Linked DNA regions of Sus scrofa. The protein of the gene in region 1 interacts with the protein of each later gene in a biochemical or structural test. Links are inferred from orthologs where the notes say so. Each region holds a gene or a part of one and is shown in the gene's direction. Other genes may lie near its edges.

Region 1 (3,940 bases):
CTCCCAGGCAGAGCAGGGAGGAGCCTGACCTTGCAGGGGATCTTCTGGGGCACAAGGCAGGTCGCAGACAATCCAATCACCTAGGCTGCTCCGGGCCTTTAGCATTTGTGTATTCCAGAATTAAACTACAGTATTTTGGAAAGTACACCCTGTCCGCTGCTTTCTGCGGTGCACATAATGTGTGTGTGGGGGAGGGGGCGCGGAGATCATGCTGAAAGCATTGTTGTTGCTTATCACTGACTGCCAAAATCATTTGATCCTCATCCTTCAATGTCCCCAGCTGGTCACCTCACCCTTAACAGACCCAGCCTCTCATCTGAAAGAAAGAATTGAAAGGTCTCCCTTTCAGTCCTCATCATTTTTCTTTCTCGGATGAAAAAAGCCAAGACTCCTTTTCCTGTGGACTGCACCCCGAAATTGGTTACCTGTGTTCTGCCTCTCCCCGCCCCCACCTCCCTAGGCAAAGGCTGACGCCAATGCCACACCATTGCCCTAGGTGTCCTGTTTTCGACAGGCAGCTCTCTCCTCTCTGCTGAGCCCTCACATTGTCCCCGCGAGGATCCAGCAGGTCCTGGGACAGCGCACAGTGACCCTGCAAACGGGAAAATACCATTATTCAAACCACTCTGTCGGGTCCGAGGTGGACCTAGGTCTTATTCGTGGGGTCTCCGGACGGGAGCGGGTGTTCCTGGCAACAGTTGCCCCTACTCCCACCTCCAACGGCAGCTGCACATTTTAGCTAAAGTCTGTCCAAACGTTAGTCTCCTTTACCCACGGGGTGGCTCTGCTCAACCCCCGACACAGGTGGGAGGAAATCAGAGCAGATCCTGCAGGCCGCTCTGCCCAGTACAGGAACTCGCTCCCGCCTCCTTGTGCCCCCGCCTCCCCGCTCGCGCCTCAACTCCAGCCACTTGGTAACAAACACTTCCACTTCCTGAGCTCTCTTTCTTCTCCCGCCGCGGGGCGTCTCACAGAGCGCAGAGTCCCGCCCCTGCGCACTCCCATTGGCCGGTGTTGTTCACCCGGCCAGAGCGGCCCCAGTTCGTGGCCTCTGATTGGCCCTCGGTGGTCCACACCCTCTGCGCGGCCCCGCCCCCGAAATAAGGGGCCGGGTCGGGTTCTGGAACTCTCAGACGCCGCGCGGGGCGGGGATTGGTCTGAACGTTGCGAACTCTGCTCCCAGCATTTCGCCGCCCCGGCTCCCGGGACACCTGCTCTCTCTCAGGTCCCGCGGCGCCAGGTTTCCCCTCCGCTGTCGTTCTCGCCACCCCCGCCCGCAGGGTAGGGAAAAGGGTTGGACCATCCCGTCTCCGAACTCTGCTTCGCGCCGCTGAAGGCGAGATGAGCGCGGACTCGGCGGCCGGGGCACCCTTGCCCCGGCTCTGCTGCCTGGAGAAGGGTCCGAACGGCTACGGCTTCCACTTGCACGGGGAAAAGGGCAAGGTAGGCCAGTTCATCCGGCTGGTGGAGCCCGGCTCGCCGGCCGAAAAGTCGGGACTGCTGGCCGGGGACCGGCTAGTGGAGGTGAACGGCGAGAACGTGGAGAAGGAGACCCACCAGCAGGTGGTGAGCCGCATCCGGGCCGCACTTAACGCCGTGCGACTGCTGGTGGTCGACCCCGAGACCGACGAGCGGCTGCAGAAGTTGGGCGTCCAGGTCCGGGAGGAGATGCTACGCGCCCAAGAAGGGCCCGGGCAGGCCGAGCCGCCGGCCGCCACCGAGGCGCAGGGGGCTGACAGCGAAAATGAGCCGCCGGCCGCCACTCCGGAGCCGCACGAGGCGGAGAAGAGCCGTCAGGAGCCAGTAAGCGTGGGCCCGGGCCGGGAGGCGAGGCTGGAACCGAATGGGAGGGGGAAGAGTGGGGAGACCCAGGCGCCCCGGACGCCCGGCCCTGCTCCCGCCTTGTCTTTCTGAAACTCGATCCTCAAGGGGGAGACTGCTTCCGCCCGCGGATCGGGCGAATTGGCAGTTGCAGGCTTGAGGCTGCGACTCACGACCCCTACTCCTCTCCCCAGACTGGGCTGGGACCCCGAGCGTCTTGGCCACTTGCACCTCTTGTCCCTTGGCCTGTGGGAGTAGGAGTCAGAGAGGGCGGCGCAAGGGAGCCCAGTCCCCTTTTCCGCACTCTGTTGGTGGCGTCTGCTCCCGTCCCTTGGGACCCCCAGTCCCACCTCAGGCCCGCCGGACTGACCAGCTGCCTTCGCCGCCCCTGAGGGTGGTGAATGAAGCTGGGCTGAAGTGAGAGCAGCCCTGACTTCCAAGAACTAAAGGAATAACTACCCCCTCTCCGTGTGGCGCCCCGATGGGAGGAGAGGGGTTACCGACTGCGTTCTCCTGTCACTTCCCCCATTCCCCATAGCCCGCTGGCGCGTGGATCATTAACTGCAGCCTGGCTGGACTTCATCCTCCTCCTAGAGTCTGGTGTGACTTCTAAAAAGGAGACGCTCCACCACCGCAGATGATGTGTGGGGGTGGGGTGCGTGCGGGGAGGAGGTGCAGAGGCGTCTGGTGGGAGTGGGTGGCGGCTCTGTCACCCAGGAGGATTTATGATTCTCAGGAATGTGAGGAGTAAGCGCTGGCTTGTATCTGGGAGCAGGAGGGAAGACCTTGGAGGAGGAGAAATGGCTGGGGGAAGGGGGGGGAGTGGTCCAGGGTCATTGGACCGTAATAGCAGCCAGCATGTCACCACAGGCAGGTGCCCTTGCCCTGGCATCAGCTGTGTTACTCCAGTCCCCAGACAGCAAGCAAGCTGGTTGTTTTTTTGCCCATGTTTGGTGTTTAATGAGTCCAGTTTGGATTAGTTGCAGGGGTTGGGGGCAGAGGGAAAACAGGACTTGCCCTGATCCTCCTGTCCCCTGAGAGTGACGGGGAAGGCCTCGCGGCAAAACTGGGGAGCAGGGCCTGGACCTCCCCAGGGCCCATTTGGCTTGTACCAGCTCTCCACCTGCTGGCGGGGGTGTCCCTGGTGCCAGTACAAGCCTCCCTTGACAGAGAAAGGGCACAGTTCAGCCTTTAAGGTAGAAGGTGGAGCCTGAGAAAACCAACTGGTTTGGTGGAAGTGAGGTCACCTGGAGCCCTGTCCGGACAACACTGGGTGCCAGGGCCGCCAGGCTCCTACTTCCTGCCACTGCCCAGCTGGCATCGGCAAGGGTTGGGGCAGGGTCAGAGCACCCCTGGTGGGGTTTGACACCAGGGAACTGGAACTCACGACCTCTGGTCCCAGGCAGAAATCCAGTTTGAACTTTGTGCTGAGTGCATCAATTTGCCATTCCGTTTTTTTGTTTTCTTTTTTTTTTTTTTTTGGACTTTGGCACTTTCACAAGCAACCCGCCCCCCCCAGGTTGCGGTCATGTTCGGCTCCTCCCAGTGCCCTTTTGGTTTCGCTGCTGGGTGCGGGAGGGCCTGCGGGGAGGTAGAGGACAAAGAGCTAGAATAGAGGCCTGGCCTAGCACGTGCACCCCCCATCAGGCCTTCTGGAAAGGCAGCTCTCTGGGTGAGCACAGAATCAGATTCCCTGCATTTGTGTGTGTGCTCTGTGGGGCCCCTAGAAGGGAGTGAGACCCCCAGCCAGTCCCCAGCGACATCGTCACCAGGCCTCTTGGGGTTTCAGGTCACCAAGCAAGTCAGAACTTCTCTGTGCCATGGTTCTCCCATCTATAGAATGGGGGTGTTGGTTTCCAGTGTCACCTGCCTTCTCTAGAATTTTCCAAATAATGGGAAGTACTTGAGCCCCTAGTGGGTGCTGGACAGAGCTCCTTTTACGCCCAAGCGTTTGAATCCCAGCTCTGAGTGAGTGAGCTGGGGGTCCCTCAGCCTCTGCAGAGCTGCTCAGCAGCGTTGATCCCTCTGGTAGGAAGTTCCTGGCGTGGGAGCATGCAGGTGACCCACCCTGCCTTTGAAAAAAAAAATGTATTAATAGACATCAAACATTGTTCCTCAA
Region 2 (2,444 bases), on another chromosome or scaffold:
TGGACCTTTGTCGGAAGGCCAGGCGGCGCTGGCACTGTGGAGGAATTGGGCTGGGGGGAAGCTTGGTGGTCCCGCGTGGGGTTCCCGTGTCTGCGCACAGGCACACCCACAGTGCCCACACTGCTCCTGCTGGTCCTGGAGAGGACGCGACCCTTCGTTTGGGGTCATTGATGACTGTGAAGCCCCCACTGGCCCCCTCCGCGTTGCTGCTTGTTCTCTTAGAAAAGCTATCCAGAACTTTGTGAAGTCAGGTTCAGAAGAAGAAAGCTAGAGAAAGGTGTCTCCGGGCCCGAATCCAAGTCCGCCCTGTTCCGCTCTGCAGGACTTTGTGTTCTATGCCCCCCGCCTGCGGATCAACAAGCGGATCCTGCAGCTCTGCATGGGGAACCACGAGCTGTACATGCGCCGCAGGAAGCCCGACACCATCGAGGTGCAGCAGATGAAGGCCCAGGCCCGGGAGGAGAAGCACCAGAAGCAGCTGGAGCGGTGAGCGGGCTGGGCTGGGCAGAGGCGGCGCCTGAGCTGGGGACAACCAGGGACTGGGGTGCAGCTGCCCCTTGGGGGTGGGGCTGGTGGCGGACTGGCTCCAGGCCAGGGCCACCTGTGGGGTGACCAGGCTGCCACGTAGACACCACGCTCCCCTGTAGAGTCTGAGCCTCCTGTGCTGCTTCTTCCCCTCCCGGAAACAGGCAGCAGTTGGAAACGGAGAAGAAACGGAGGGAAACGGTGGAGAGAGAGAAGGAGCAGATGATGCGCGAGAAGGAGGAGCTGATGCTCAGGCTTCAGGACTATGAGGAGAAGACCAGGAAGGCGGAGAGAGGTGGGCCTGCCCGAGCCTCCCTCCGGTGGGGGGCCTGTGATGGGAGGGCGCACTTGCGGCCAGGGACACACACTGCCGTCGAACACCTCCCCAAAGCAGAGACCTGGCGGGGGGCCTGATGAAGTGCTTGTCTGGATTGGGGAGAACTCTGTGCAGGTTCCGGGCTAAATGCTTACCGCGCATTCTCTTCGTGAGGTTCCCATCAGTTCTGTGGGGTGAGGACCAGGTTAGCACCTTGTTCCTGATGAGGACGGTGAAGTTCAGGGAGGTATAGTCGCACAGTCATGAGCGTCCTGGCTGTGCCACACTGTCCCTCTGTCCCTCAAACCCTCCTGAGCAGGGGTTTCTGAGGCCAGCGGCCCAAGGGTGTGCAGCCAGGCCCTGGGCGGGAGGGGGCCGTTTCGCCACCACGAGGATGGAGCCCACAAGCGCGGGAGAAACCAGCCGCCACGTGTCCCCCTCCATGTCCCCTGCCACTCTGTCCGCTGCTCTGCAGCGTTGGTGTGATTCTTGCTCGTGTCCCAGGCGCCCCTCCCCCCGGGTGGGAATTGAGGGCAAGACGGGGGGGTCCTTGGCTGGAGCCTTGAGCAGCCCCGGCTTGTGCCCTTAGAGCTCTCCGACCAGATCCAGCGGGCGCTGCAGCTGGAGGAGGAGAGGAAGCGCGCGCAGGAGGAGGCCGAGCGCCTGGAGGCCGACCGCGTGGCTGCGCTGCGCGCCAAGGAGGAGCTGGAGAGGCAGGCGGTGGATCAGATAAAGAGCCAGGAGCAGCTGGTAGGAGTCCACAGGGCCTCAGGATGCTGAATTATGGAGAGGCTGCCTCGGGGGGTAGAAAAAGTGACACCTGCTTTATAGTAACGGGTGTCTGGGCTGTAAAGTGATCCTCCTGGGGGCGCAGAGTGGCAGGTGGGAGGGGCTCTGCGTGGGTGACGGACGCTGCTGGCCGTTGACCAGAGCATGTGACCCCTCTTTCACAGGTGCACTGTCGGACGCGTCCTAGAAATAACTTGGGCTTCTGCTCCTTTTCCAGGCCACAGAACTCGCCGAGTACACTGCCAAGATCGCCCTCCTGGAGGAGGCTCGGCGACGCAAGGAGGACGAGGTGGAGGAGTGGCAGCTCCGGGTGAGTGGGGGCGGGGGCGGCGAGGATGAGGCTGGGTCCGCAGGGACAGAGCCACTTGTTGACTCCACCCGAGCTGTTCAGCCCCCCAAACATCCCCCATCAGGAGCTAGCTTTAAACCCCACGGTGTGGGTGCTGCCAGCAATGGCCATAACCCCTGCGGCAAGCCCTCCTGTCACTCCCGGAGGCTGGTCCCCACAACACGGGCACAGGGAGACCTGGCTCTGCCCCTTGCTGTGCGACAGGATGGGCGGCCTCACCTCCGAGCCTCGGTTTCCTGTAAGGACGCCACAGAGGTCGAGTTAACTGTAGCTGTACCGGAACCGTGCTCCTTCCTTGTGGTGTGACGTCTACCCAGCAGCCCCCACGCCAGCAGGGATGCACTGTCCTCAGGGGCTCAGTCAGGCTTGGAGTGGCCAGACTGGGGGCTCCTTTCCCCTGCCCTTTGCCACACTTCCCAGCTGCAGGGGCCCCTTCTGGGAACACCTGGCACCTCGCTCCCATCC
Region 3 (4,160 bases), on another chromosome or scaffold:
ATACAATGGAATAGTTTTTGGCTTTGAAAAGGAATGAAGAATTGATACATACTACAACATGGATGACTCTTGAAAACATGTGGGGTGATAGAAGCCAGACACAAAGCCCACATACATATGATTTCATTTATATGAAATGTCCAGAAAAAAACAGAACTTTGGAGACAATTAGCAGTTGCCAGGGAGTGGGGGAGGAAGGATGGGGAGTGACTGACTGCTAATGGATAGGAATTGCTTTATGTCTAACCCATGGCATATGGAAGTTCCCAGGCTAGGGATTGAATTGGAGTTACAGCTGCCAGCATAGGTCACAGCAATGCAGAATTCGAGCCGTGTGTGCAGTCTTTACCACAGCTCACCTGTACTTAAGTGAGGAGCTATCATTATGACTCTGTGAGTTGATATCCCTTAACCCACTGAAGGAGGCCAGGGATAAAATCCTCATGGATCCTAGTTGAGTTTGTTAACTGGTGAGCCAAGACAGAAACCCCTGGATAGGAATTTCTTTTTGGGGTGATGAAAATGTTCTAAAGTTAGATTATGGTGATGGTTGCACAGCTTTATAAATATGCTTAAAACATTGAATTATACTCTTTAAACAGGTGATTTTTCTCAAGGCTGATGGAAAAATACAAATTACAAAAGATAGTAGGTAGAACTTGGGGCAGTGAGTGGCTCAATAGACAATGGTCATTATTCTTATTAACTAGGTCTCCCTATTTTTTTGTTTGTTTGTTTGTTTGTTTGTTTTTGGTCTGGCCGCGGCAAACAAAATTTCCTGGGCCAGGGATCGCTACAGCAGCGACAACGCCAGTTCCTTAACCCGCCAGATCCTTAATCAGGGAACTCCCAGTCTCCCTAACTTAAAGCCCCAGAAGCAGTTGGGGTGGGGGACTGCTGAACTTCAGCTCGGCCTAGGTTTTAAGTCGCTGAGAGTCGCTGGGAGAATCCCAGAACCACCGCGGGTCTCCTCGGAGCTTCTCGAATGGGTGAAGCAATCCTCACTCACGTCCCTGGGGTCTCGCGGGGGTGGGGGGTGCTTGGAAGGCAGATGCGGAATTCCCAACGGACGACTTCGGCCTCAGCTGGCACCGCGCTGCAGGTGACTGGCTGGGTCGCGGCTAACCCGGAAAGGCCAGAGGAGCTCTTTCAGGTGAGCTCTCGTGATTGGCAGCCCAGGGGGGAAGGGCTTCGGGAGACGGCTGCCCCGCCCCCTCACGTCGGGCCGGTTGGCGCCAGCCTGGGGGAGGTGGGCGGGCCCTGGGGGTCCACGGCGCCCATTGGGTGTGGAGGGGAGGGAACGCCGGGGAAGGCCTAGGGCCCCGCCCCCGGATTTGCTGCGACCAATGGGCGCGGCACGTGGGCGGGGCGTCGGCGGCAGTCGGGCGGCTGAGGCGGCTGAGGTGGCTGAGGTGGCCGCTGAAGCTGAGGCAGCGGGCGCGGCCGGGATGGCGAAGAGCAGCGGAGAAAACGGGCCGCGCGCTTCCGCAGCCAGGGGGAGCCTGTCGGGGACCCGAGAGAGCCTGGCCCCGGGCCCCGACGCCGCAACGGCCGATGAACTCAGCTCTCTCGGCTCGGACTCAGAGGCCAACGGCTTCGCTGAGCGCCGCATCGACAAGTTCGGCTTCATCGTGGGCTCGCAAGGCGCCGAGGGCGCGTGAGTATGGCTGGGGGCCGGGGCCCGGGGCCGGGGGCGGGCGCGGGACCTGAGAGGAGGGCCTCGACGCGGACCGAGCCGCTCTCAGGAAGGACCGACGTGTCTCAACCAGGAACCAGCGACCCTTATCTCCCTTGCCCCACCCCCACCTCCCCCCAGGCGGATTGACCCGCTTTCACCCTGGAGCCTACTTTGGAGCCTGGGACACGCAGGCCAACCTCACCTCTCCTGCTCGCACCTCCAGACAGACTGACCCGCCCCCAGGAAGGGCTCTCCTCACAACTGCGGACAGATTGACACCTGTCCCAACCCCATCACTACCACCCTCGCCTTAGGGTTGATTGACTTTGCCACCCTGGGCAGGCTCACAGGTGGCCGCCCTTCCCCCAACAGGCCGATGTTCTCCATGCCCCCCCGCCCCGCCCCCGACCCGCAGATGCCCTTGTTTTAGCAGCCCACTACCCTCATATCAGGGGTATACCTTAGGCAGACTTCAGAGGGACAGACTTCTCTGCCCACACTACATTCCAGGACAGACTGACCCTCACCTCAAGACACACAGACCTCTGAATAGACTGATATTTGTCAGTTCCCTCCTTCTTTGGGACAGACAGTCCCTTCCCCTCATGGAAGGGTCAGAGCAGAGCGTGTTCCCCTCTCCCCTCAGAGGCAGATTTCTCCCTGTCATTAGCAACAGGTGGGCAGACACTCCCCCTTTCCAGTACCCACAAGGTGATGGTACCTCATCTTCAGAATAGACTGTCTTTGTGGATGGTGTGGAAACATGCACCTCCTCTCCAAACACAGACTGGGGTTGGGGGGGCAGCAGCAGGAGACAGCAGGGTCCAGGCTCTTAGCACACCCAGATCCCCTGTACCCAGGCACCCAGCTGGCAGGCAGAGAAATGTGGGGCAGGGAAGCAGCACCTTCCCTTTAAGTGGGGTAAATTGAGCAGCCACATAGAACTCCTTGAGCCTAGTCCTCACAGAGATCATATGTATGGGTTGGTGATCCCTTTAGGAAGGATGGACTCTTGATCCCACTCCCATCCTCCTGTCCTGTCACATGAGACCAATGTTGTGCACAAAATTGACAAATCTCCCTTGCAATGGGCCTCCTCTTCAACAGAGAGCCCCATACAATCACTTGTGGGAGCCCACAGGACTCAGCCATGACCCTACTCCAGAGGGTCCTTCCTCCCCTTCTCTCACCATTTGTGACTGCCCAAGCTTCTCCAGCCTCTGTTATGACTTATGGAAGGGCCTTGATCATGTGTAAGATTTCAACCCCACACAAACAGTCCCATAAAGGTCACTTCTGGGATTTTTCCCTAGTCCAAATCCTCATATTCAGCAGGCCTCTTTCTCATTTGGAGAGGTAGAGAGAAATGCAGGCCTCTCCCCTCCTCTAAGGAGAGTTCTCTTTTACTCACTGGACTGTGTCCTCCAGCCTCTTTCCATTTACTCACAGCAAGCTAAGCCTTGTCCATTCCAGGACTCAGAGAGCACCCCTTATTCTGATCCCTCACCCTGACTCAAAGCTTTGTCACAGTTCCCTAGGGATTGGAATGAGAGAACCCAAAGGTGAATTGGAATATATTTTTGAAATGAGGAGCAGATACAAGGGCTCAGGGTCCTGGGAGGGATGAGGTCTAAAAAAGTGGGAAAGGAGTTCACAGTTGCATTTGTGGGTGCTTGGAGGGAAGAGCTCAGATTTGCTGGTGAATTCTGGGAGGTAAGAATTCCTACCATGCTTATCAGGCACTTAATCACATCTCAGGGTACAGAGCAGGGTGATATAGTGGAAAAAGGCCAAATTTAGCAAGAAGTCACACTTACTGGCTGTGTGACCATGGGTAAGATCCTGAATCTCTGAGCATGTTTACTCACTGTAAAGGGTAACAGTATCACCTACTCCCAAGATTACTGTGGGGATTAAATGAGATAAAGTATTCAAAGGTGCCTAGCACAGTACCTGGCTCAAGTAGTGGCCCAGAAAAAATGTTAGTTTCCTTTTCCTTCAAAAGATCTGGAAATTGAGGAGAAAGTGAGCATGTATCTCTGGTATTTGTAGAAAGAGAAAGGCCCCAGGGGAGGACCTCCCTTTGGCTGTAGTCCCCAACCAAGCAGCCAGACATCTGTCTTCCCCACCCTCCAACCACAAACCCAGGCTTTGCAGACACCCTCTGCATCCTTGGTGTCTATACTGCTGGGGCTGAGGTGGGATTCCAGGTCCCTTCCTCTCTCCCTGTCTCACTTTCTTGACTCTGTTGGCTAACCTAAAATCTCTGGTATCTGAAGGCCTGGGATGTTCCCTGTTTAGTTTATATTGTGGTTCAAAAAAAGTCAAAAGTAAGTCTCTGCCCAAGGCCATAAGAGGGGAAGTTATGAGAAGTTTCAGAGTGGTTGTGCTGAATCCAGTCTCGTGGTTGAGGGCTAGTGGGGCCCAAGTGCTGTCCCAGAAAAGTGAAACATTAGCACTGATGGCTGCAGCAGAGATGGTG
Region 4 (4,026 bases), on another chromosome or scaffold:
CTTTATTGCACATTTAGACATAGAGGAAATTAGGCTCCAGATTTTGGATTTGCCTAAGGAATGTGAGCTAGAAAGAAACTGGAATGCAGTATTCCAATTCCAGTTGTAATCCTTCTCTACCCTCCACTCTGTTCTGCACATGGTAAAGCAGTACATTGAAAGGATTAAAAAAGAGATTTTAGAATCAGGGAGAACTGGGTTCAGCTCCTGCCTGGCATTGCCAGGCTGTGCCTGTGGGCAAGCTATTCTCCTCTTCCAGCCCCCTTTGTGAATTAAATTAAAAATAACTATCCGCCCCACCCACCCCAGCACACACACCACCAGGCGACTGTGGGAAGGATGAAATGGAATAATGCATGAAAAGCACATAGCAGAATGTTTCATAAATGTTAGCCATTGTTAAGTTATTATGTAATCTAGAAAATATGTTTGGTTACACTGAGTGAAACACTTTCAGTTCTTCAAAGACACTACTAATACATGTAAAAATCAAACCCTGAAAATTAATTTCTTTTTAACAGTGAAGTCACATGCCAGATGCAAAGGCTAATATTTCATGGAAAATGACCTCGTCTGAAGCTTGGTCTGACTTTTTTAAGAAAAAATACCTTTTCCTTTCTGTGGTTTCAAACCTTTTTTTTTTTTTTTTTTTTTTTTTTTTTTTGTCATTTTGCCATTTCTTGGGCTGCACCTGCGGCATATGGAGGTTCCCAGGTTAGGGGTCTAATCGGAGCTGTAGCTGCCAGCCTACACCAGAGCCACAGCAACGCTGGATCTGAGCCACATCTGCGACCCACACCACAGCTCATGGCAACACCGGATCGTTAACCCACTGAGCAAGGCCAGGGATGGAACCCGCGACCTCATGGTTCCTAGTCGGATTCGTTAACCACTGCGCCACGACGGGAACGCCTCAAAACATTTTTAATGTTACACATTCTTAGTAATGTGAACCATAATAAATTGCCATGTTTTAGAAGCAGAGATTATAGAATAGCAGCAATTTCATATGGCTCGGATCACCAAACTACCCAGCAGATGATTTTTCTAGTTGCCCAGGCATGAATGAAGTAGAGCTTCAAAGAAAAATTATTCTATTTTCAGTACATTTTCACTTGAACAGATAATGAAGGAGTGATGCCACACTCACTAGAATTAAAATTAAAGCATACAACTTTCTCTTTCTGTCCCCAAACACACGCATGGATAGCCCAGGTCTGAATGAAATCCCAAGCGTAAAAGCCTGTCTCAGTGCCTGCAGATTCCCAAGGAGAGCACCGAAAGTCCTTGACAGCGAGCGAGCTGAGGAAATGGGCAGCTGCTGAAGTCACCTCCTGAGGTCTCGCCAAATGTTTGAAAGGGAATATGCGAAATGTCCGCATGCTGGGGAGGAAAGGACGGAGATCCAGGGTGCCGGAGAAGGGTTTGTAGAACATGGGTGGGGACGTCCTTGGCTGTGACTCCCGGCTTGCCTCCACGTGGCCCTTAGTGTGTTGTTTACTTCTTTTCGTGTGTGCCTATGACTTTGTGGTTCTGGGTGCTGCTGGGTTTGTTCCTGACCACGTCTCTGCGTTAGTTAAGGTTGACTTTGCGCCGATTTGCTTGTGTGTGTGTGTGTGTCCGTGCGCGCACGCGCGTGTGCTTGTCGGTGTGCTGGATGGGTGTGTCTGCGTGTCGGTGGCTGTGGCTCCGTCTAAGTCCGTGCACGTCTGCCAGGTGAATTGTGCCTGTCCGTGCGTGTCCTGGCGGGCACTCTCATTCTCGTCTATTTCCGAATAGGAGGGAGTGCCTGCGCACTACCCTCTGCCCAGGGTCCTCAGGCCTCACGACAAGCCCGGGCAGGCAGGTAGCAGCCACAGAAGACTGCGCAGCTCCCAGCTCGCTGGTAAGCGGCACCCCCCAACTTCAGCTTCAGCCCTGGGGCCAGCCTGGGTAGCCTGGAGGGAGTGGCGACCGGCCGGCAGGGAGCAGCGGGGCCCCGCCCGGGCCAGCCCCAGGAGGAGGCGGGAGAGGGAGGGAAGGGGCGGGGGGGGGGGGGGGGGCCTCGCCCCTTTGGGGCTTCCCGCGCGCCATTGGTCCCAAGTTGGAGCACGTCACGGGGAGGGCAGTTCCCCTCAAGTCCTGTGCACATAACGGGCAGCGCGCACTCCGAGGCGGCTTCTCCGGAGCGCAGGCAGAGACCCGCCGGCACTGCGAGCCTCGAGCACCCCGGGAGCTGAGTGCACCACGCGCCCCCTCCACACCCACCCCACGGCCGCTGAATGAGGCTTCTAGGCGCCCGCTCGCTGCCCGCAGCCCCCCGCCGGAGGTCGGCCCGCTGAGGCGCGGCGGGTGCGCCGGCTGCCAGCGCGCTCACCTGCCCGCCTGCGCGCCATGGGGCAGCCCGGGAACCGCAGCGTCTTCTTGCTGGCGCCCAACGGAAGCCATGCGCCGGACCAGGACGTCCCACAGGAGCGGAACGAGGCATGGGTGGTGGGCATGGCCATCGTCATGTCGCTCATTGTCCTGGCCATCGTGTTTGGAAACGTGCTGGTCATCACAGCCATCGCCAAGTTCGAGCGTCTCCAGACGGTCACCAACTACTTCATCACCTCCCTGGCCTGTGCTGACTTGGTCATGGGCCTGGCGGTGGTGCCCTTTGGGGCCAGCCACATCCTCATGAAAATGTGGACTTTCGGCAGTTTCTGGTGCGAGTTTTGGATTTCCATTGACGTGCTGTGCGTCACGGCCAGCATTGAGACCCTGTGCGTGATCGCCGTGGATCGCTACCTTGCCATCACGTCCCCCTTCAAGTACCAGTGCCTGCTGACCAAGAACAAGGCCCGGGTGGTCATTCTGATGGTGTGGGTCGTGTCGGGCCTTATCTCCTTCTTACCCATTAAGATGCACTGGTACCAGGCCACCCACCGGGAAGCCTTAAACTGCTATGCAGAGGAGGCCTGCTGCGACTTCTTCACCAACCAGCCTTACGCCATCGCCTCTTCCATCGTGTCCTTCTACCTGCCCCTGGTAGTCATGGTCTTCGTCTACTCCAGGGTCTTTCAAGTAGCCAGAAGGCAGCTCCAGAAGATCGACAAGTCTGAGGGCCGCTTCCACGCCCAGAACCTCAGCCAAGCGGAGCAGGATGGGCGGAGCGGGCCGGGACATCGGAGGTCCTCCAAGTTCTGCTTGAAGGAACACAAAGCCCTCAAGACGCTAGGGATCATCATGGGGACGTTCACCCTGTGCTGGCTGCCCTTCTTCATCGTCAACATTGTGCACGGGATCCATGACAACCTCATCCCCAAGGAAGTTTACATCCTGCTAAACTGGGTGGGCTACGTCAACTCGGCGTTCAACCCCCTCATCTACTGCCGGAGTCCAGATTTCAGGATGGCCTTCCAGGAGCTTCTGTGCCTGCACAGGTCTTCCCTGAAGGCCTATGGGAACGGCTGCTCCAGCAACAGCAACGGTAGGACTGACTACACAGGGGAACAGAGTGGCTGTTACCTGGGGGAGGAGAAAGACAGCGAACGGCTGTGTGAGGAGCCCCCAGGCCCGGAAGGCTGTGCACACCGGCAAGGTACTGTGCCCGATGATAGCACTGATTCACAGGGGAGGAACTGTAGTACAAATGACTCCATGCTGTGATGCAGGTGTCTACTTTCTAAGCGCCCCTTTCCCTCCCAGCCAAACACTAAACAACTCGAGTGTGATGAATTTAGAATGAACGTCTATAGAGATGTGCAGGAGGAGGAACATCCTTCTGCCTTTTTATTTTTTATTTTTTTAAGTTGTAAAAAAGAGAAAACATTATTTGAGTGATTGTTTCTTGTACAGTTCAGTTCCTCTTTGCATGGAACTTGTGTAAGTTTATGTCTGCAGGCCTTCGGTCCCAGAGGACGTGGGGCTGGTATGTTTTGATGACTTTTCCGCATATCTACCTCATTGATCAAGTATTAGGGGTAATATATTGCTGCTGGCAATTTGTTTCTGAAGGAGACCTTCCTTCCTGCACCCTTGGACTGGAGGATCTTGAGTCTCTCG
Region 5 (4,049 bases), on another chromosome or scaffold:
CTGTACAGCAAGGGGGTCAGGTTATCCTTACATGTATACATTGCAATTACAGTTTTTCCCCCACCCTTTCTTCTGTTGCAACATAAGTATCTAGACATAGTTCTCGATGAAAAAAGCCATTATTAATAACACTATTTTAAGAGTTTCCACATGTCTCTGTGGGTTAAGGATCCTGACAACGTCAGTGCTGTGGATCAGGTCACTGTTACGGTGCAGGTTCGGTCCCCAACTGGAAATTTCTACATGCTACCGGGTACAGCAAAAAAAGTAATAACAGTATTTTAGTCAAGGTACATTGAAATACTCAAAAAGAATAAAAAAGATGTTATCATTGTAAACACAAAGAACTTTGAGCTTTCTTCATTTAGAGTGGAAGGGAAGAGAAGATACCCAAGATTTGGTTCATTCAGACCTGCAGTCATTCATTCATCCAAACAGCATATTCTAGGCACTTTTCATGCACACTGTCCACCTACCGGTTGAGACCATGCTGGACTTTCACTTGGTCCAAATCAGAATTCATTATTTACTGATTTTATTTTATTTTATGTTATTTTTATTTGGCCAGCCCGAAGCATATGGAGTTCCTGGGCCAGGGGTCAGATCTGAGCTGCAGCTGGGTGGCCAGATCCATTAACCCACTGTGCCAGGGGAGGGATGAACCCTGTGTCCACATGCCACAGAGACATCTCCCATACCCTTGTGCCACAGCAGGAACTCCTGTTTATTGATTTTCAAGCCTTGGACAAGTTCTGTCCTTGAGCCTTATCTTTCTCATCTGTAAAACAGGGATAGTAATACCTTCTTTATTAGGGCATCGTTAGAGTGAAAAGTGCAGTCAGGTCCCCAGAAGTGCCTATAACCGGTGTTTTATAAAATGTACCACTGTTACTCCACTAGGTTTTGAGCACATGATGAAAGAAATCATAAGGCAGTCTCTCGCCATATTCCCCTTTCCCAATCTAAAAGGGCAGCAAAAAGCTTACAGAGGTCCCCCCCGCACCATGCAGTAATGTGAGATCTCAAAAGCCCTTTGGAAGCGTGCATTCGTCTTCCAAAATTTTTTGAGTTCTTCTAATTCTCTGTTACATATCTTTAGGTCTTGCAGCGTTACAAACACATCTGTGCTAAATCCAGCCGTTGTCCCAGGTCAAATGTTTAGCCGCAGGATGGAGAACCTCCCATAGCACCCTAGTTTGGTCGTGAGGAGGGCAGGGTGCCCAGAGGGCGGACTGCTAATGCCTACAGCCGGCCTTCTCTGGGTCTTCGGAAAGCTGCAGCCGAGGGGGCGTTTCTGAACTGCAGGGGCGGGCAAATACCACGCCTCTCCCTCTCCACCTCTTCTGGGTGGGTGCCTGGGCTGGGAGCAAGAACTGAGGCTGAGCTTGCAGCCAGGTGCGAGCACGTGGGTGTCTCGGCTCGGAGACAGACTGTGTCGCGTGGTAGGTCTACCCGCTTCCATCCAACGGCACCTTCGGCCTCGCCTCGCCCCTTCACCAAGCTGCGGACGGCGGCAGCCGAGTCACCCCTTTGTCTCGCCGCTCGCACGCGTCCGCTGCACCCGGCTCCCGGCAGATCCTGCAGCGGCGCGTAGCTGGCGGCCCCGAGGCGGACCCGGGAGGCGGCGCGGCCTGGGAGGCGGGCCGCAGGCGTTCCACTCCCGGAAGCGAGTGATTCTTGGGCTCCTGCAGGCGGACCCCCGGGCCAGCCAGAGGTCCAGCATCTCCGCCAACCCTTCCGGGAGCAGCGTGAGCGGCACCGCCGCGGGAGCTGTGCGACCCCGGCCCGCACCCGTCTTGGCCGTCAGGATGCTGCCGGTGTACCCGGAGGTGAAGCCCAACCCGCTTCGGGACGCGAACGTCTGCTCGCGCGTGTTGTTCTGGTGAGCGCCCCGCCTGAGCTGTGACACCGCCGCCGCCGCGCCGGCGCCTTTCGGGAACAGAGGGTTGGGGCGAGCAAGAGCTTCCCGCCGGTGCCCAGGCCGCCCGGCTTCCCGCCGACAATGGGGCGGCCCCACGCGGGTCGCGTGGTCCCCACCTGAGCCTGGGCGCGCGGGGGCGGAGGAGCAGGGCGGGGGAGGAGGCCCTGGTGGCGGGGCCGCCGGGTGTCCCTGCCTTTCCTCTCGCTGTTTCGCCAGCCCGTAGGAGGAGGAGCAGGGGGAGCAGCTGGAGCAGGAGGGGGAGAGGCGGAGAACCTGGGCTGCCCAGTGGGAATCTACACCCAGCAGGAGAACGCGCTGCGCCCCCTCTCCACTCCCTACTCTGTGTAGCCGGCTTCCCCAGTATTGCTAAGGAGTTCGAAGTTCTGAGCTAAAGCTGCACCCTTTCCCCCCTAAGCAAGCATCTTATGAACAGCTTCCTTTATCTATTTAGTGCCCTGGACCAGTTGCCGTCTTCCAATGTCCCCACCTTTTTCTGTATTCTTAGATGACAGCTGCGTACCAAACTGCACTGAGCTCCCTCTGTCTGTGTTTTTGTGACTGTGTCTCGCTCCCTCCCTCTCCGTGTGCGTCTCTCACTATCTTGGTACCTAGTTGTGGCAAATTACATGTGGGTGAAAAAACTACACTATTTTTTAATTACTGGGGCACACTGCTCTTGGGCACGTTTTGCTTTGGCCCCGGAGGCACAGCCAGCACTGGAGAATGAACTTGGCTAGCCTCTTTCCTATTGCAAATATTTCTACTTCCCCTTTTGAGGACCACTCTGGGGATGGGGTCCCTGAGGCCTGTGGGGTCTTATCCAGGTCTCTAGCCTTCAGAGAAGCAGTGCATGGTCTGACAGTGCTGATGGTCCGGCCCAGGAATCATTTGGTCCTAAATCCACTGAAGCGTCCTGAGCTGGGAGCAAACCCTGATGAAAAACAGCTTACAGAGGTGAAGTTCTTTTCCTTTTTTTTAGGGTCGCACCTGCGGCACATGGAGGTTCCCAGGCTAGGGGTCCAGTAGAAGCTGTAGCCTCAGGCCTATGCCAGAGCCACAGCAATTCGGGATCTGAGCTGTTTCTTCGACCTACACCACAGCTCACCGCAATGCCAGATCCGTAACCCACTGAGCAAGGCCAGGGATTGAACCAGCAACCTCTTGGATGTTAATCGCTGAGCCGCTACTGAACTCTGGTGAAGCTTTAACTAAAAGTTTTTATCTAGTAGCTAGGACTACTTAACTAGGTGGGCCTGAACCTTTGGCCTTTAATCACACTTGGGTCATTATGAGATCTTTTGTTTCTGGCCCCTAATCCATACTCTGATAATTTCCTTTTTAATGGGCCGGCCTAGCAGAGGGTCCCCAAGGGTTGGAAGCTTGTTTTGCTGGAGGTGTATTCAGTGTGTGTAGCTACATCTCTTGGCCATTTGGTGGCCCTTGAGTAAAGTAGAGCCTAGGCTTATGGGTGTGGTTACTGTAACTTCTGGCAGGGCAAGGAATTCTCAGAGCATCTTCTGTTTGTGGATTTTCAAAATGTATGTGTCTGTAAATGGGATAGGTGAGGACTTGTCTGATTTTGTTAGGCACCTGTGTCCAGTTTTCCTACTGCAGCAGCAGGAGCAATTTTTTTTTTAAGGGCCGCATTCTCAGCCTATGGAGGTTCCCAGACTAGGGGGCTGACTTGCAGCTGCAGCTGCCAGCCTACACCGCAGCCACAGCAACATGGGATCCAAGCTGTGTCAGCGACCTACATACACCACAGCCACAGCAACCCCAGATCCGAGCCGCATCTGCGACCTACACCACAGCTCCTGGCCATGCTAGATCCTTAACCCACTGAGCAAGGCCAGGGATCAAGCCCAGGTCCTCATGGATACTAGTCGGTTTCGCTACCACTGAGCTGCAACAGGAACTCCCCAAGGATTTATTTCTGTTAGCCAAGTACATTTGATGCTATTTTGGTTGTTTTTCAGTCTTTTCCCTAGAAATCTTTATGCACTCTTCTGCTCACACATCGTTTCTATAAAACTAAATAGTTTTGAATCTTGAATCCTTAATTTTTTATGGTTAGTGTTTATTTATGTTTAAAACCGGGTATTTAATGGTAATTTATGCAATCTTTCAT
Region 6 (4,193 bases), on another chromosome or scaffold:
GCCCGTATATCCCTCCACCTCTTTTTGAACCCTCCTCGGTCTCCTCGGCTCCGCCCACTCGCCGGGGCTGCAGCTTCCTACCGTCGCGTACTTCACTCTCCGGCCCAGCAACCCGAGTCTCCGCCCGGGTGGTGGAGCGCGGAACCGGGCCCCGGGGCGATCCAGCCAGCCAGGTTTTCACAGCGGCCCAAAAGGGGGCGGGGCGAGGAGTCTTTGGCTCAGTTCGACGCGGTGAACCCTACTGGAACCCCGAGGGGAGAGATGCTCTCTGCTCTCCAGGGGGCTGGGGTGCATCCCAGCGTCGGGTATCAGCTTTCATTTCACCTGGACATTTGTCCTTTGGGATCTAGAAATTCAGGGGCGATGTGTTCATATTCAGCACGCTCTGCTGGACCTTTCAATTTTAGGGCAAATGAACCAGGTTGCCGGGGAAGCGGGAGGTGGGGCGATGCAAGGGAGCCGGATGAGGTGATACACACTAGAGACACAATAGGGGATTCTTTGTATTAAGACTGACACCTTGAGGACACGGGTGGGGGTGGGGGATAGGTGGATTTTTTGGCAGAGGCTGCTGCAGTCAAATCCCTGCGAACGATTGTGATCCGACAGCGGTGCAAAAGGACGGGGGGTTGCAGGCCGTGCCAGGGAAATCTGGGGGCAAGGGGAGAGGTGTCCTCGCTGTAGGGACCATCCTTGCGCTTCCCGGTACACTACCAGCGCAGTCACCTGGTCTTTCCCACCTGTGCACAGGTAACCTCAGACTCGCGTCAGTGACACTGCTCAAAGAACCTGCCTCAGCCTTCACCTTAACCCCCCTGTCTCGCTCGCAACAGCCTATTCTGCCTCGGGTTGCGTTGCTGGGCACAGGCTATGGTTCAGCTCGTCCCCCCACCCTGCGTTGCTGCAGAAGCAGCCGCAGCAAGTGCAGCTTCAGGAGGGGGCCTCGGAACAAGCCCGAGCGAGCCCCGGGCAGTCATACTGGGCATGCTCAGTGGCGCCAGCAGGTTGGGGACTCGGCGCTCGCACCAGAGCTGCCGCTTCTGCCCCCTCCCTAAAACCCCAGCCCTGCCCTGCGCGTCTCTCCCCTGGCGCGGTCCGGCCCGCCTCCCGCCTCCCGCCTCCCCTCGGGCTCCCAGGCGCCCCTGCCCCTAGCGCGGCGGCGGAGGGGGCGGGCAGGCTGGCGGGCGGTGATGTGGCGGGACTCTTTGTGCACTGCGGCAGGATACCCGTTCGGAGCCGGGACGCGGCTGCGCTCAGTTCTCTCCTCTCGGAAGCTGCAGCCATGATGGAAGTTTGAGAGTTGGGCCGCTGTGAGGCGAGACCGGGCTCAGGCGAAGGAGATGAGAGACGGCGGCGGCCGCGGCCCAGAGCCCCTCTCAACGCCTGTGAGCAGCCGCGGGGGCAGCGCCCTCGGGGAGCCGGCCGGCCGGCGGCGGCGGCAGCGGCGGCGTTTCTCGCCTCCTCTTCGTCCTCTTTTCTAACCGTGCAGCCTCTTCCTCGGCTTCTTCTGAAAGGGACGGTGGAAGCCGTGGGCTCGGGCGGGAGCCGGCTGAGGAGCGGCGGCGGCACCTCCCGCTCCTGGAGCGGGGGGGAGAAGCGGCGGCGGCGGCGGCGGCGGCGGCTGCAGCTCCGGGGAGGGGGTCGGAGTCGCCTGTCATCATTTCCAGGGCTGGGAACGCCGGAGAGTTGGTCTCTCCCCTCTTACTGCCTCCAACACGGCGGCGGCGGCGGCGGCACATCCAGGGACCCGGGCCGGTTTTAAACCTCCCCTCCGCCGCCGCCGCACCCCCCCTGGCCCGGGCTCCAGAGGCCGCCGGAGGAGGCAGCCTTTCCGAGGATTATTCGTCTTCTCCCCATTCCGCTGCCGCCGCTGCCAGATCTCTGGCTGCTGAGGAGAAGCAGGCCCAGTCGCTGCAACCATCCAGCAGCCGCCGCAGCAGCCATTACCCGGCTGCGGTCCAGAGCCAAGCGGCAGCAGAGCGAGGGGCATCAGCTACCGCCAAGTCCAGAGCCATTTCCATCCTGCAGAAGAAGCCCCGCCACCAGCAGCTTCTGCCATCTCTCTCCTCCTTTTTCTTCAGCCACAGACTCCCAGACATGACAGCCATCATCAAAGAGATCGTTAGCAGAAACAAAAGGAGATATCAAGAGGATGGATTCGACTTAGACTTGACCTGTATCCATTTCTGTGGCTGCTGCTCCTCTTTGCTTTTCTGTCACTCGCTCTTATAACGTGGGAGTAGACGGATGCGAAAAATGTCCATAGTTTGGGTGACTATAACATTTAACCCTAATCAGATTTCTAGATCATGTATATTTTGTGCTGCTTTTGAATGCATTCAGCCTAGGGTGTGTTCATCTAGACAGAACTCTTGCTTGGTTGCAAGTGTCAAGGCGCCCATGGGTTTCTTAGTCTGTCTACGGGGTCTCTTCCTAAGGGCTATTGTCCGTTAATACAGAATACAGTACAGTGTTAGTGGATTAGTGAGCTCGGTAATCCGGTCTATTAAATGAACAGAAAAGTAGATGCTTTGAGGTTGAGCATATTTCGATTAAATCTTGGCTTTAGGCCCTAGATCAAGGGTATAGATCAGATTAAAATGAAAATTAGTGTTGCACGTACGCATATTGCATCAGAATCTTGCAGTGATTGTTTTGAGTTTCCTGGGTTGCATTGATAGATTCTTTTAAAATGTGAGTTGTGAACTGATTTGCATAACTTTAGAGAGAATCATTTTAGCATATATGGTGCTCATTTGAAGGCAAAAGTAGGTTTGTGTGTTAAAACAAAGTTAATTACAACTTTGAACTGCATGTGGAAGTTTTGTAGCTTGAAATCAATAGTGCCGTGGTATATCTCATAAATCGTTCTTATTAGATCTTTGTTAAATTTGCTCCCCTCCCCCCATTGGGGTGATATGGGATAGGATATGAAATTTGCAATTCAGTAGCATTTTATATTCAGTGCTCTTGTGACAAGTAGTAGAATGGAGATTGAGTGGTTTTTGATCCCAGATGATAAGGTTGTATAGGTTGAAGGGTATAGTGTGTAGCAAATGGTGATTGCAGAGATTAAACTTCAGTTTCACTTGAAATTTAAGTATTATTGTGATGCCAGAATTGCTGCTCACCTTATTTAGGTATCATGTCCTCTGACACCTTTGGGTATCCGTTAATCTTACTCTGACTTGTGTAGAATGTCAAGTACAATTTATCAGCTAATAATCAGACTGGCAAGAGTGGATTACTCCAGCTTCAGATTGTAGGTGTGTTCCGCTTTTTCCATACGGTGTCTTAAATTTACTGAGTCAGCTTGTTGAATAAGATAGAAACCCAAGAATTTCAATAGTGTATAGTATTGGTTGTCTAACAGGCCCTTGTACTTCAAAAGATGCTGGTTATCAAAAGGCATTAATCTTTGCAGTTTCAGGTATAATAAGCTGGCTTTGATCAAGGATGGGAATGGAGCCCTTTTTTGCAGAATGAAAAGTATCAGAAATTGAGAGTTACGAAAGGCCAGTGTATAGACATGAGACAGGATTAAGTTACTGGTCTGAGGTGACTGAAGCATTTTTTTAAGCCTCTATTAAGATAAGAAATTTGGTGGTATGAATTTTACTAGTTGACAATATTTAGTTAAAACTATGTAGTTTTATAAGTGTTAATATTCTTTAATAAAAGTGGTTTCTTAGCAACTGTCAGTAAACATCTCTCCTAAAGGTAAAGTGAGACTAAAGTGTTTATATATGTACAGCTAAAAATTGTGGGGGAGTTTTTTTGAATCAAACGTTGTATATCTGGAGAGATTTTATTCCTTCGGGTTATGTATGTGCACATAGTGTGCACAGCTAATTTACTCGAAGTATTTGTTTTGAAATGAAGATAAAATTACTGAAGAAATAGCTTTACCACGCACACAAGGTAACCGTTTTCTGTTAAGTTAAAAAAGAATGTTTAAAAAGAATATTTGGAAATTTTAAAGTTGCATTAATTGAAAACTTTACTGAGACTGAACTTGACCCGCTTACCCAGAAGTTAATTACGGAAAAACTCTTCTGATTTGTAACTTACTTCAAAAATAGTCTACTGTTGGCGTAAACTGACAGTCATCTGAATATATAGGAACACATTAATTAACTGTTTAACTTTTTAAAATAAGCCTCCATTCAAAAAATTTTCCAGAATGCTGTTTA

What was found.
Region 2: the proteins of SLC9A3R1 (region 1) and EZR form a complex in vitro, tested with the Homo sapiens proteins (2 studies listed by BioGRID and IntAct). The link is inferred for Sus scrofa from reciprocal best matches to the Homo sapiens genes NHERF1 and EZR.
Region 3: the proteins of SLC9A3R1 (region 1) and TBC1D10A form a complex in vitro, tested with the Homo sapiens proteins (2 studies listed by BioGRID and IntAct). The link is inferred for Sus scrofa from reciprocal best matches to the Homo sapiens genes NHERF1 and TBC1D10A.
Region 4: the proteins of SLC9A3R1 (region 1) and ADRB2 form a complex in vitro, tested with the Homo sapiens proteins (3 studies listed by BioGRID and IntAct, with this or other methods). The link is inferred for Sus scrofa from reciprocal best matches to the Homo sapiens genes NHERF1 and ADRB2.
Region 5: the proteins of SLC9A3R1 (region 1) and ABCC4 form a complex in vitro, tested with the Homo sapiens proteins (3 studies listed by BioGRID and IntAct, with this or other methods). The link is inferred for Sus scrofa from reciprocal best matches to the Homo sapiens genes NHERF1 and ABCC4.
Region 6: the proteins of SLC9A3R1 (region 1) and PTEN form a complex in vitro, tested with the Homo sapiens proteins (3 studies listed by BioGRID and IntAct). The link is inferred for Sus scrofa from reciprocal best matches to the Homo sapiens genes NHERF1 and PTEN.

The regions. Positions count from the first base shown.
Region 1 is NC_010454.4:6,480,740-6,484,679, reverse strand, and holds the start of SLC9A3R1 (Na(+)/H(+) exchange regulatory cofactor NHE-RF1), read left to right. Parts: upstream 1-1,140; 5' UTR 1,141-1,341; coding exon 1,342-1,803; intron 1,804-3,940. UniProt on the Homo sapiens protein: Scaffold protein that connects plasma membrane proteins with members of the ezrin/moesin/radixin family and thereby helps to link them to the actin cytoskeleton and to regulate their surface expression. Necessary for recycling of internalized ADRB2.
Region 2 is NC_010443.5:8,448,362-8,450,805, forward strand, and holds part of EZR (ezrin), read left to right. Parts: intron 1-322; coding exon 323-486; intron 487-689; coding exon 690-820; intron 821-1,430; coding exon 1,431-1,591; intron 1,592-1,847; coding exon 1,848-1,940; intron 1,941-2,444. UniProt on the Homo sapiens protein: Probably involved in connections of major cytoskeletal structures to the plasma membrane. In epithelial cells, required for the formation of microvilli and membrane ruffles on the apical pole. Along with PLEKHG6, required for normal macropinocytosis.
Region 3 is NC_010456.5:47,298,741-47,302,900, reverse strand, and holds the start of TBC1D10A (TBC1 domain family member 10A), read left to right. Parts: upstream 1-1,360; 5' UTR 1,361-1,448; coding exon 1,449-1,657; intron 1,658-4,160.
Region 4 is NC_010444.4:150,031,423-150,035,448, forward strand, and holds the start of ADRB2 (beta-2 adrenergic receptor), read left to right. Parts: upstream 1-1,226; 5' UTR 1,227-1,885; intron 1,886-2,140; 5' UTR 2,141-2,373; coding exon 2,374-3,630; 3' UTR 3,631-4,026. UniProt on the Homo sapiens protein: Beta-adrenergic receptors mediate the catecholamine-induced activation of adenylate cyclase through the action of G proteins. The beta-2-adrenergic receptor binds epinephrine with an approximately 30-fold greater affinity than it does norepinephrine.
Region 5 is NC_010453.5:64,307,032-64,311,080, reverse strand, and holds the start of ABCC4 (multidrug resistance-associated protein 4), read left to right. Parts: upstream 1-1,249; 5' UTR 1,250-1,808; coding exon 1,809-1,882; intron 1,883-4,049. UniProt on the Homo sapiens protein: ATP-dependent transporter of the ATP-binding cassette (ABC) family that actively extrudes physiological compounds and xenobiotics from cells.
Region 6 is NC_010456.5:99,928,197-99,932,389, forward strand, and holds the start of PTEN (phosphatidylinositol 3,4,5-trisphosphate 3-phosphatase and dual-specificity protein phosphatase PTEN), read left to right. Parts: upstream 1-1,393; 5' UTR 1,394-2,097; coding exon 2,098-2,176; intron 2,177-4,193. UniProt on the Homo sapiens protein: Dual-specificity protein phosphatase, dephosphorylating tyrosine-, serine- and threonine-phosphorylated proteins.